2 linked regions of the Oryzias latipes genome follow. The protein of the gene in region 1 purifies or fractionates together with the protein of each later gene. This does not show direct contact. Links are inferred from orthologs where the notes say so. Each region holds a gene or a part of one and is shown in the gene's direction. Other genes may lie near its edges.

Evidence for each region.
Region 2: the proteins of fbxl12 (region 1) and styx purify together in Homo sapiens (affinity purification with mass spectrometry; 4 studies listed by BioGRID and IntAct, with this or other methods). This does not show direct contact. The link is inferred for Oryzias latipes from reciprocal best matches to the Homo sapiens genes FBXL12 and STYX.

Annotation. Positions count from the first base shown.
Region 1 is NC_019868.2:6,646,282-6,650,666, forward strand, and holds the start of fbxl12 (F-box/LRR-repeat protein 12), read left to right. Parts: upstream 1-1,503; 5' UTR 1,504-1,764; coding exon 1,765-1,865; intron 1,866-2,033; coding exon 2,034-2,109; intron 2,110-2,504; coding exon 2,505-3,551; 3' UTR 3,552-4,385. Other genes in the region: cops6 (COP9 signalosome complex subunit 6), read right to left, coding at 1-38, 1,416-1,458. UniProt on the Homo sapiens protein: Substrate-recognition component of the SCF (SKP1-CUL1-F-box protein)-type E3 ubiquitin ligase complex.
Region 2 is NC_019861.2:26,241,673-26,246,003, forward strand, and holds the start of styx (serine/threonine/tyrosine-interacting protein), read left to right. Parts: upstream 1-1,531; 5' UTR 1,532-1,704; coding exon 1,705-1,761; intron 1,762-2,112; coding exon 2,113-2,145; intron 2,146-2,257; coding exon 2,258-2,311; intron 2,312-2,417; coding exon 2,418-2,515; intron 2,516-2,603; coding exon 2,604-2,664; intron 2,665-2,748; coding exon 2,749-2,785; intron 2,786-2,860; coding exon 2,861-2,900; intron 2,901-3,579; coding exon 3,580-3,630; intron 3,631-4,260; coding exon 4,261-4,331. UniProt on the Homo sapiens protein: Catalytically inactive phosphatase. Acts as a nuclear anchor for MAPK1/MAPK3 (ERK1/ERK2). Modulates cell-fate decisions and cell migration by spatiotemporal regulation of MAPK1/MAPK3 (ERK1/ERK2).

The DNA of each region.
Region 1 (4,385 bases):
ACTCCCAGTGACCCCCGAGGCCATGACACTGGGGGTGGCTGCAGACACACAAACAGCAACAACTTCAACAAAACAGGAAATACAAGACACAAGGAACACAACGTAGATTTTTCACAATAAGATATAGTATGACATATCAAATAATTGGCTGTCGTGTTGATGAGACATTTACAAATAAAAAATAATCCTAAAACAATTCAAGAGAGGATAACACCTGCCTAAACATATTCATACAGGCCTGAAGATTGATCTTTAAACCTAAGCTGTTTACCTTTTAGTTTTATCTGTCATTTTTGTAGTTAATCAATTGATAAAGGAAAAAATTCATCGGATGTATGACAATGTCCAACACATCAGCAGCTGCTCATGTTTTATTTTACACAAAGATGCTCATCTTAAGCAGGTTGAGCACTTTTTCATCCTGTAGATGTCACAGACTGAATAAAATGGCTTCGGTCTGATGTATCTGAGGTTGCAGGGGTCTGCAACCTGAGGCTCCAGAGCCACATGCGGCTATAAAGACATTCAAAAAAATTGAACAAATACTTAATTAGTTTAACTAAGCAAATATTCTTATAGTCTACTGTCAAGTTGTTGCTTTGAGTCAAAGTTCTTAAAATATATAATTGCATTTACATGTATAGATTTTTATTTTTATTTGGATTTTAAACCAATGCACACATCTTTATGTTGATAGTAAAAGGATGAATGCTCACCTAAAATTAAATCTGTTGAAGCAGGAGGATCTTTTGACTTAGGGTGCATTTTATTTTGAAAGGAACGTGTATGTGCTGCTGTCTGAAGTAAAGAAGTTAAACTTGCTCTTTTTTAGTAAAATATAACACCTTTGTGATTCTATTATTGTCGACATGTAAAAGAAAGCTACCTGTTACAATAATGAATAAAAAGCCACTGAAGTAAACAAACAAAAAGTGTATTTTTCTAAATGTTTAGGCCAGACTTTGTGGCTCTCGTTGGGTTTTGATCTGTAAGAATCTGGACCAAGTGGCTCGTTTCCCGTTAAAGGTCTCAGCCCCCTACTCTAGATGAATGAATACAGTAGCATTTGGGAAACTATCAAGTTGTTTTCCTTCTTTAAACAGCGCTCGGTTAATCTGGATTTAGATTATATAGCATTTTAAGGATGGGTACATTGTTAAGTGACTGTATTTATAAACTCAGCTGCGCATTACTGAGTTAGATCAGAGAAAGCGACAGTAAATCCAGAATGATTCATCACTGACTGACCGTTAACCTGCTTATCATGTTAGCAAAGCTTTTGTAGCCAGAAGCTTTAGCGCCGCCAAATCTTTCCGGCTCACAAACCAGCAGAGACACAAAACACGCGGGGCCCTTGGTGCGCGCGTACATGTTAACGTCGGGCTCCAACGGTCTGATTTAAGACAAACACTTGCCTGCCCCGTCTACCTCCATTCCTCCACCATTGCTGGTCGCCATCTTGTCCGGTAGACTGCGCGTGCGCAGTGGACTGTTGACCTAGCGAACGATAGGTGGCAACATCACATATTTTCTGAACATTTATCAATAAGGCGCGCGGCAGAGCTGATGTCATAAACATTTTTAAAATTTAAATAACTACTTAGACGTAGACTGAGTATGTTCAGAGAAACCCAGGCCCGTTGCTTTGAACTGTTAAATGAACTGAACTGTTGCTAACCAGAAGCTGTTTCCTGGGGATTACTGATTAGAGCGCAACCCGTGTGCATCCGGAAATTAGTCCGTGTGGAAGGTTTTGTTTACAGAATGGATGAATTCAAAGGCTGCGATTTGGATTACTTCCCCGAAAACATCTTGATAGACGTGTTGTCGTTTTTGAGCGTCAGAGAGCTTGTTCGAGCTGGAAGGTATGAAAATGTGGCCCTGCTGAATGTGTTGGATTTTTGGTTCCCTGTTCTTTCTATACAATGCAGCAGCATGCACAGACAGACAGAGCCAGCTGGATGATCTCCCTTTGTTGTTGTTGTTGAGACTTCTGTCTGGCGAGTTTCTAATGGTTTCCACATTTTCTCCAGGGTTTGTAAGAGATGGAAACGGCTGGTTAAAGACCAAAGACTGTGGAGAACAGTAGATCTGACTGCTTGGAAAGGGGTAGGACTGTGGTTTCAGTTCCTGAATATTAAGTATTAATATTAATTCTTCTGTAATCGAATGGACACAGTAATAAACATGGATAAAAAATATGTGATGTTTGAAACAACCGTGCTAAGGCTTTCTTTTGTTAGTTTATGTCCAATTTTTTTAAACCTTCACTAAAAACAGTGACAAAGGTGCACTTTTTTTCTTGTATTATTATTTCTACTATAATTGGACACGTTATTTAAAATGTTGTTAATTGTCCTTTGTTAGGAAAGTAAGTCCCAAAAAAAAAATAGGCCTCCTTTTAGGTTTCTGATGTGCATGTGTTTGAGCTTATATCTCATTATTTATTTAATCAGTTTTCTCCTCGTTATTGTCACATGGTCTCTTCTTTTTTCTTACATCAGGTGACATCTCGCATCCTTTGGGTCTTGCTGCGTCAGTACTTTGGTTGTGGACTGAGGTGCCTTCGCCTGCGTGGCTTGCTGCTTTCTGCCCGGGGTGGAACCTTTCTCTCAGAGTCCTGGCTCAAAGCTTTGTCCACTAAATGCCCTCGCTTGAGTAAGCTATGCCTTCTACATGCAGACTTGAGAACCTTACCCAACTGCCACCTCTTGCCTCCTTCTCTACGTGTGCTGGAGCTCCGTGGTTGTGAGCTCCCTCAGGGCTTTTTTTGTCAGGCCAAGAGTTCCTCACCTGCTTTTCCTCAGGACAGAGCAGTGGCTACTTCCAGCGCTGGTGGTTCACAGCAAGGAAAAAATCCAAAAGTCAAAGGGCAGGCCTCGCCTTTAGGCATTAGTATTGAGAGTCTAGTTCTTAACAATGTGCCCTCTTTCACAGATCAGCACCTGCAGAGTCTGACATCATGGGAGAGGCTTTGTCGTTTAGAACTTCGCGACACATTTCGTATAACAGCAAATGGGCTTAGAAGCTGTGCAGCAAAAGATGGCCTTTCAGGTATGGAGGGCCTGTCCAAGCTCAAGTTTTTGGAGTTAGGTATTACAGCAAGGCAAGGCTACCAGTTGCAGATGGCCTCCCTTGGGCTGGGCGCGGGATGGCTTGGATTAGAGGAGCTGAGTCTCGGTGGTAAAGAGGTAGGGCCGGGTTTGCTCTGTGCCAGCCGCTTGAAAGATTTGAAGCGCCTGTGCTTGTGGGCCTGCACGCTCGGTGAGCTGCAGATCGTGCGCAGCTGCAGGATGCTCCGCGGACTCCGCCAGCTCCAGTTTGAAGATGTTGTCTTCCAGCCTCGGCAGAGTCCACCGGCAGAAGAGGAGGAAAGGAGCAACGAAGAACAGCAAGATGGAGAGGAACATTCAGAGATGGATAACAACGATGACAACAAGACACAAGACACGAATGATCCTTTTCCAAGCCTTAGGCGCTCATTGGCCGTCATGCTGCCTTCTTGTAGTCTGGTTTTTACCAACTGCTCTGTTCAAATAAACGCAGACTGATAGAGGTCTCAACTAATGCTCTGTTCTGACAACAAGTCCATGTAAATCTTTGGGAGACTGTTGTAGTTTAGTACAAACAGCAATCGGCACCCAATAATCTGAAAATCATCATGGTTAAAGCCCCACTGTCTGTGTGAATTGAATAAAATGGAATTCCACTTTGATGTTGGTGAGTTCACAAAGGCGCATCGAAGGGGGGAGTGCACCCCCCTGTCCATCCAAAAAGAGGGCAAAAAAAAAAAGATTTACTTACAGGTTAAATGGAGTTCATTGTGTAAAGCTCTTTTAAGCCTTATCCAAATTAGAAATAATTATTTCATATTTTTTGGAACTCTGGGTAAAAAAACATGTAAATAAGTGTTGCATTTTTTAAAATAGATGTTTAAATAGATTCTTTCCGAATTGACGTTCTCCAATTAACCAAAATTAAGGCTTCATGGTGTGTTGTGATAAAAGATGAAAGCTAACTTTTAAACTCATCAAGGTGAATTACACTGAGATTGTTCACTGACACAGGATTAGGCTAATTCATCACACTGATGGAAACATCAAAAACCTTTTGTCACCCCTTTTTGAAAAATGTGCCTCTTAGACTGACAGTTATTAAGAAGAGGTGTTGAATCATGAATGTTTTGAAGGTTTAAACAGAGTTTACTGTCACAAAAAGATGTATCATTCTATCTTTAAGCAGTTTCTTTTTTCAGGTGAATCAATGGGTTCTTTTTTTCAAAAAGAAGAAATACTGATAAGTGAGTCATTTCAAGGTGCATCCTTAGGTCGTGTTACAAACGTAGAAAGCAGAACTGTCACTGCTTGACTATCTGACATGCATGT
Region 2 (4,331 bases), on another chromosome or scaffold:
TCGCGGGCCACATAAAATGACATGGCGGGCCACATTTGATTTGACACATGTGATGTAAAGTCATGATCAATAAATTTGTTGAGTTTTTTCAAGCCTTTGGTTCAATGTTCTGACAACAGCTACTTCCTACCAGTGGAATACACCATGGCAAAAAATATAAGTATGTGTAAAATAACATTATGCTTTTAATTTATATTCAAATTAGTAAAGGTTTTGGAGGGACCTCAGTTGCCTTCTGTAAGCAGGGTGCAGTGAACAGGAAGGGGTACAGATCTGGATGAGGTTGCTCAGGTAGGAAAATGTTTTTGGTTTACCTCCGTACAAGCAAATGTCAGAGCTGTCACAGGAAGTTAATCCAGAGAACTGGAACAAGTTGGTAGTACAGTGAGAACCAGCTTGTCCAGCATCAGATCTACCAAACATTTTTTTCTCAATTCTAATATCTGATCTTTCGGAAACCTGGTTGACTTTGGCATGTAACCCAAGCTCACAAATGGACCAATAGAGACTAGTTAAAAGTTTAAATTTAAACCCAAAATTAAAGCATATTGTCTAACCTTTTTATAAATATAGAAACGTTTGTTTTGTTTAGCAAATCCTAATGCTTAGCAGTCCATTGCATGTTTTCCAATTCAGTATTACAGAGAATGTTAACACAGTGGATCACACTGTAAACACAAGAGAAGAACTCCACCTAGAATTTCCAATGAACGCCTCTCCTTTGCCACGCGGCAAATTCTCTGCTCCACAACTGTCCAGAAATGTTTTCAAAAGCTTGTCGCCCCAGACTTGTGCAACTACCTCTGGCTGCTGTGTGCAGAATGTGGCTTGGTTCAACGTGGGCGGGATTGAACGTCTTCATTTGTGGGTTCGTGAGATCATTCAGAGATTCTCTTGGTACAGTGAGATTCACTCCTGCTGCGAGGGCTGTGTCTGAATGGGGCCTTTTTATATCTTTGTGGATAGCAACGATGTTGCTCACCGTTTTGAGGATCTATAAGCTTGCGGGAGAGAGTGTAAACAAATGAGTGTTGGAATATCAACGTCCTGGTACTTCTGCGCCAACAATCCCGCCCACAAACCCAGAATTGAATTTCTGATGAGCTATTGCTGCGCTGCAGAAAATATGTCTGCATTTTGATTTTTGCTAAAAAATAAATAAATTATTATTAATAATAATAATAATAATAATAATAATAATAATAATAATAATAATAATAATAATAATAATAATAATAATAATAATAATAATAATAATAATAATAATAATAATAGACCACTGGATACGATTTTACAATAGATAAAAATGTAATTGGAATAGGACTTTAAAAAAAACTATACTTTCAGCAAAGTGAGTTTTTAAATTTGATGTAAGAACACAACCATACCATGTTTGAATATACTGGTCGTGTTAATTATCAACATTTCAATCAATAGAAAAAGGTAAGTGCCCTGTGGAGGCCAATTATGTCCCACCTAAAAGCACGCGCGAAACCGCAAAGACAACAAACAAATGGTCCTTTCGGCTTTCCGTACTGGGCGCTTTCTTCCCGTCGAGTTGTAAAGTCACATGACACACATGTCAGAGGGAAGCATGGCGGACATGCATGTGTACTCTGAAAACAAACTACTTCGATATTCCAGCTAACCCAACAGCGAAGACTATCGTTAGGGTGCGTGTGAAACCGGGCTGAAGACACCGCAATGGACGGAGAAGTCAAACTCCAGTTTCCGTCTCTGCCGGCGACAAAGGAAGACCTGGTGAGCAGCGCCTGACGACGTGTCAGCTAGTACCTGCCAGTAGTAACTCTTCGCCTCCTCCTGTCTAACTCCGCTCTTTCAAGGGGAAATCTATTAGCTATTTATTTGTTGTAATTTTTTGTACATTTATAATATTAACTTCTAAAATGTTAAAAGTGTTTGGCCGTTGAAAGACGTTATTTGAAAAAAGTGTCGTCGAGCGAAGACCGATGCATTATTAGCCTAGCTAGCATTAGCCACCTTTGCACAGAGAGTAATCTAAACTAAACATGTTTGCTCCTAGTTTTACAGAAATACAGCTGAGTTTGTTTCGGTTTTTTTTTCTTTTTCAAAATGTTCTTCCTGTTACAGGACTGGGCTTACCCAATGAGACGAGATATGCAGGTGTGTGCGCTGTAGTTGTAGAATTCAGCTTTGTTCAATTCACCTGATAGAAAATATGTTTAAACATCTATTGAAAAAGAGAAAATATTTCATCTTTTTTGTGTTTTTGTAGGAGATTTTACCAGGACTGTTTTTAGGGCCTTACTCTGCTGCAATGAAAAGCAAGGTATTCACTACTTTGCATGTTTTTCAACATGAAAACAGAAGTGTTTTATTTATTTATTTTAAACAATGATTTGGATATCTCCCACCTTATGCTTCTGTTTCTCCAGCTGCCAATTCTTGAGACGCATGGTATAACCCACATTGTATGTGTCCGCCAAGATATCGAAGCCAATTTTATCAAACCCAATTTCCCTCACACATTTAGGTAACCACGCTTGCATTACGTTGTCCTTATAGGAATTAAATGTCATAGAAGTTCATAGGTAAACATAGAAATGCGTCTATTTTATTAGATATTTGGTGTTGGATATTGCTGACAATCCAGTGGAAAATATAATCCGCTATTTCCCTATGGTAAGACGCATTTTCTTCTTATTGATTGTTTTGACATTAAAAGTTTGCTGTTATGATGTTCAATTTTTTTTTTTTTTTTTTTAGACTAAAGAATTTATTGACAGCTGCTTAGCAGCAGAAGGTAAGGAATCATTTAGTCTGAACTATTCATGTAAATTTTAAACATTAAGTCAACTGTTTGGTTTTGCTCCTCTAGGAAAGGTACTTGTTCATGGTAATGCAGGGATATCAAGAAGGTAAGACTTTCTGCGGCATTCTTTTTCAATTCAACCTTGATATAAACTAGAATATATATATATATATCATTTTTTTAATTAGATGAAGCAACTTCTAGACTAAATTGTGATACATTACCTCAGTGACACTTTCAGTAACTGTGTTATCTCATCAAAGGAAAGTTATAGTGGGTTGATATTTGCAAAATCACTTTTCTCCAAACCTATTCAGATCATTTATGTGAGCAAAAACCAGATCAGGTGATTTTTATCGTGCCAAAAGTCTCCAATCCTTCATAAGTTTTGTGTTCAACTTGCTGATTTGTTGTTGACTGCTTTATCATAAACTTACCACCATCAGAATATGTTGCTTCTCTTTCAATCTTTCCTTGAAAATGCTAAATCAGTTTTTGATTTCGATTTAAACTGTTTGTTGGTGTCTAAAGAATTTTTACTCATGAAAGTTTCAATTTAGTTAAGTTTAAAGTACTGGTTATGGATAAACTAAAATATGTCTATATTTGATTAGAAATTTGACAAATGTAATCAAATTAAATGTAAAAACCAGCCTGAAATCCAATTGATTTTGGTGTTTTGTTTCAGTGTTGCTTTTAAAGCTAAAACAAGGCTACATGCATTTGAAGTCTGTCGGTTTAAAGAATCTGTTCAGTTTGCCTGTTTTATCTCTCTTTATTTCCAGTGCTGCCTTAGTGATTGCATACCTTATGGAAACATTCGGGATAAAATACAGGTAAGTGTATTTGTCTTTTGTTTGACCTCATTCATCAAAAGGCCATATTCTGTTCTGCAGATTCAAAGTACTAGTATGCTTTAGCCATAACATCCAATAAATCAAAACCTCTAAATGCGGATGCATCTATTTAAAGTATAATCATTTGCTGGGAAAATCTTCGTTAATGTTAGTTTGATGCTAGTTTGTTAAAGGTATTTCAAGTTCCCTGTAGAAGGTCCTCACCCAAACCAGAAACCTGCTTTAATGGATCGACAGTTGATTCTATTTACAATCAGTTAGAATGTAACTGTGCTGCATTTGAATAAACACACAGAGCGGTTTCTGTTCACGGTATCAGTCCCGTCAGCTGACACTTTGATAAACCAAACTCTGTCAGAAATGCATTCTCCAATCCGTATTGGTGAATTCTAATCTGAAATCTCCTGGGAGGTCTGGACAAAATGGTACTTGAACAAACATTATGGCTTTACTTTATCAGATGTCCACAGATGAACATAAAACCGCACAAACAAGATGCTTATTTATTATTACTTTTTTTTTTTAAGAGGACTCCTTTTACCCTGTGGAGGAAATAAGGTTTTAGTTTGTAATTTATGTCTCAGTGGCTGTGGTTGCAACTGTCTGCAGGGATGCATTCACCCATGTCCAAGAGAGGAGGTTCTGCATCAACCCCAACGTGGGCTTTGTACATCAACTAC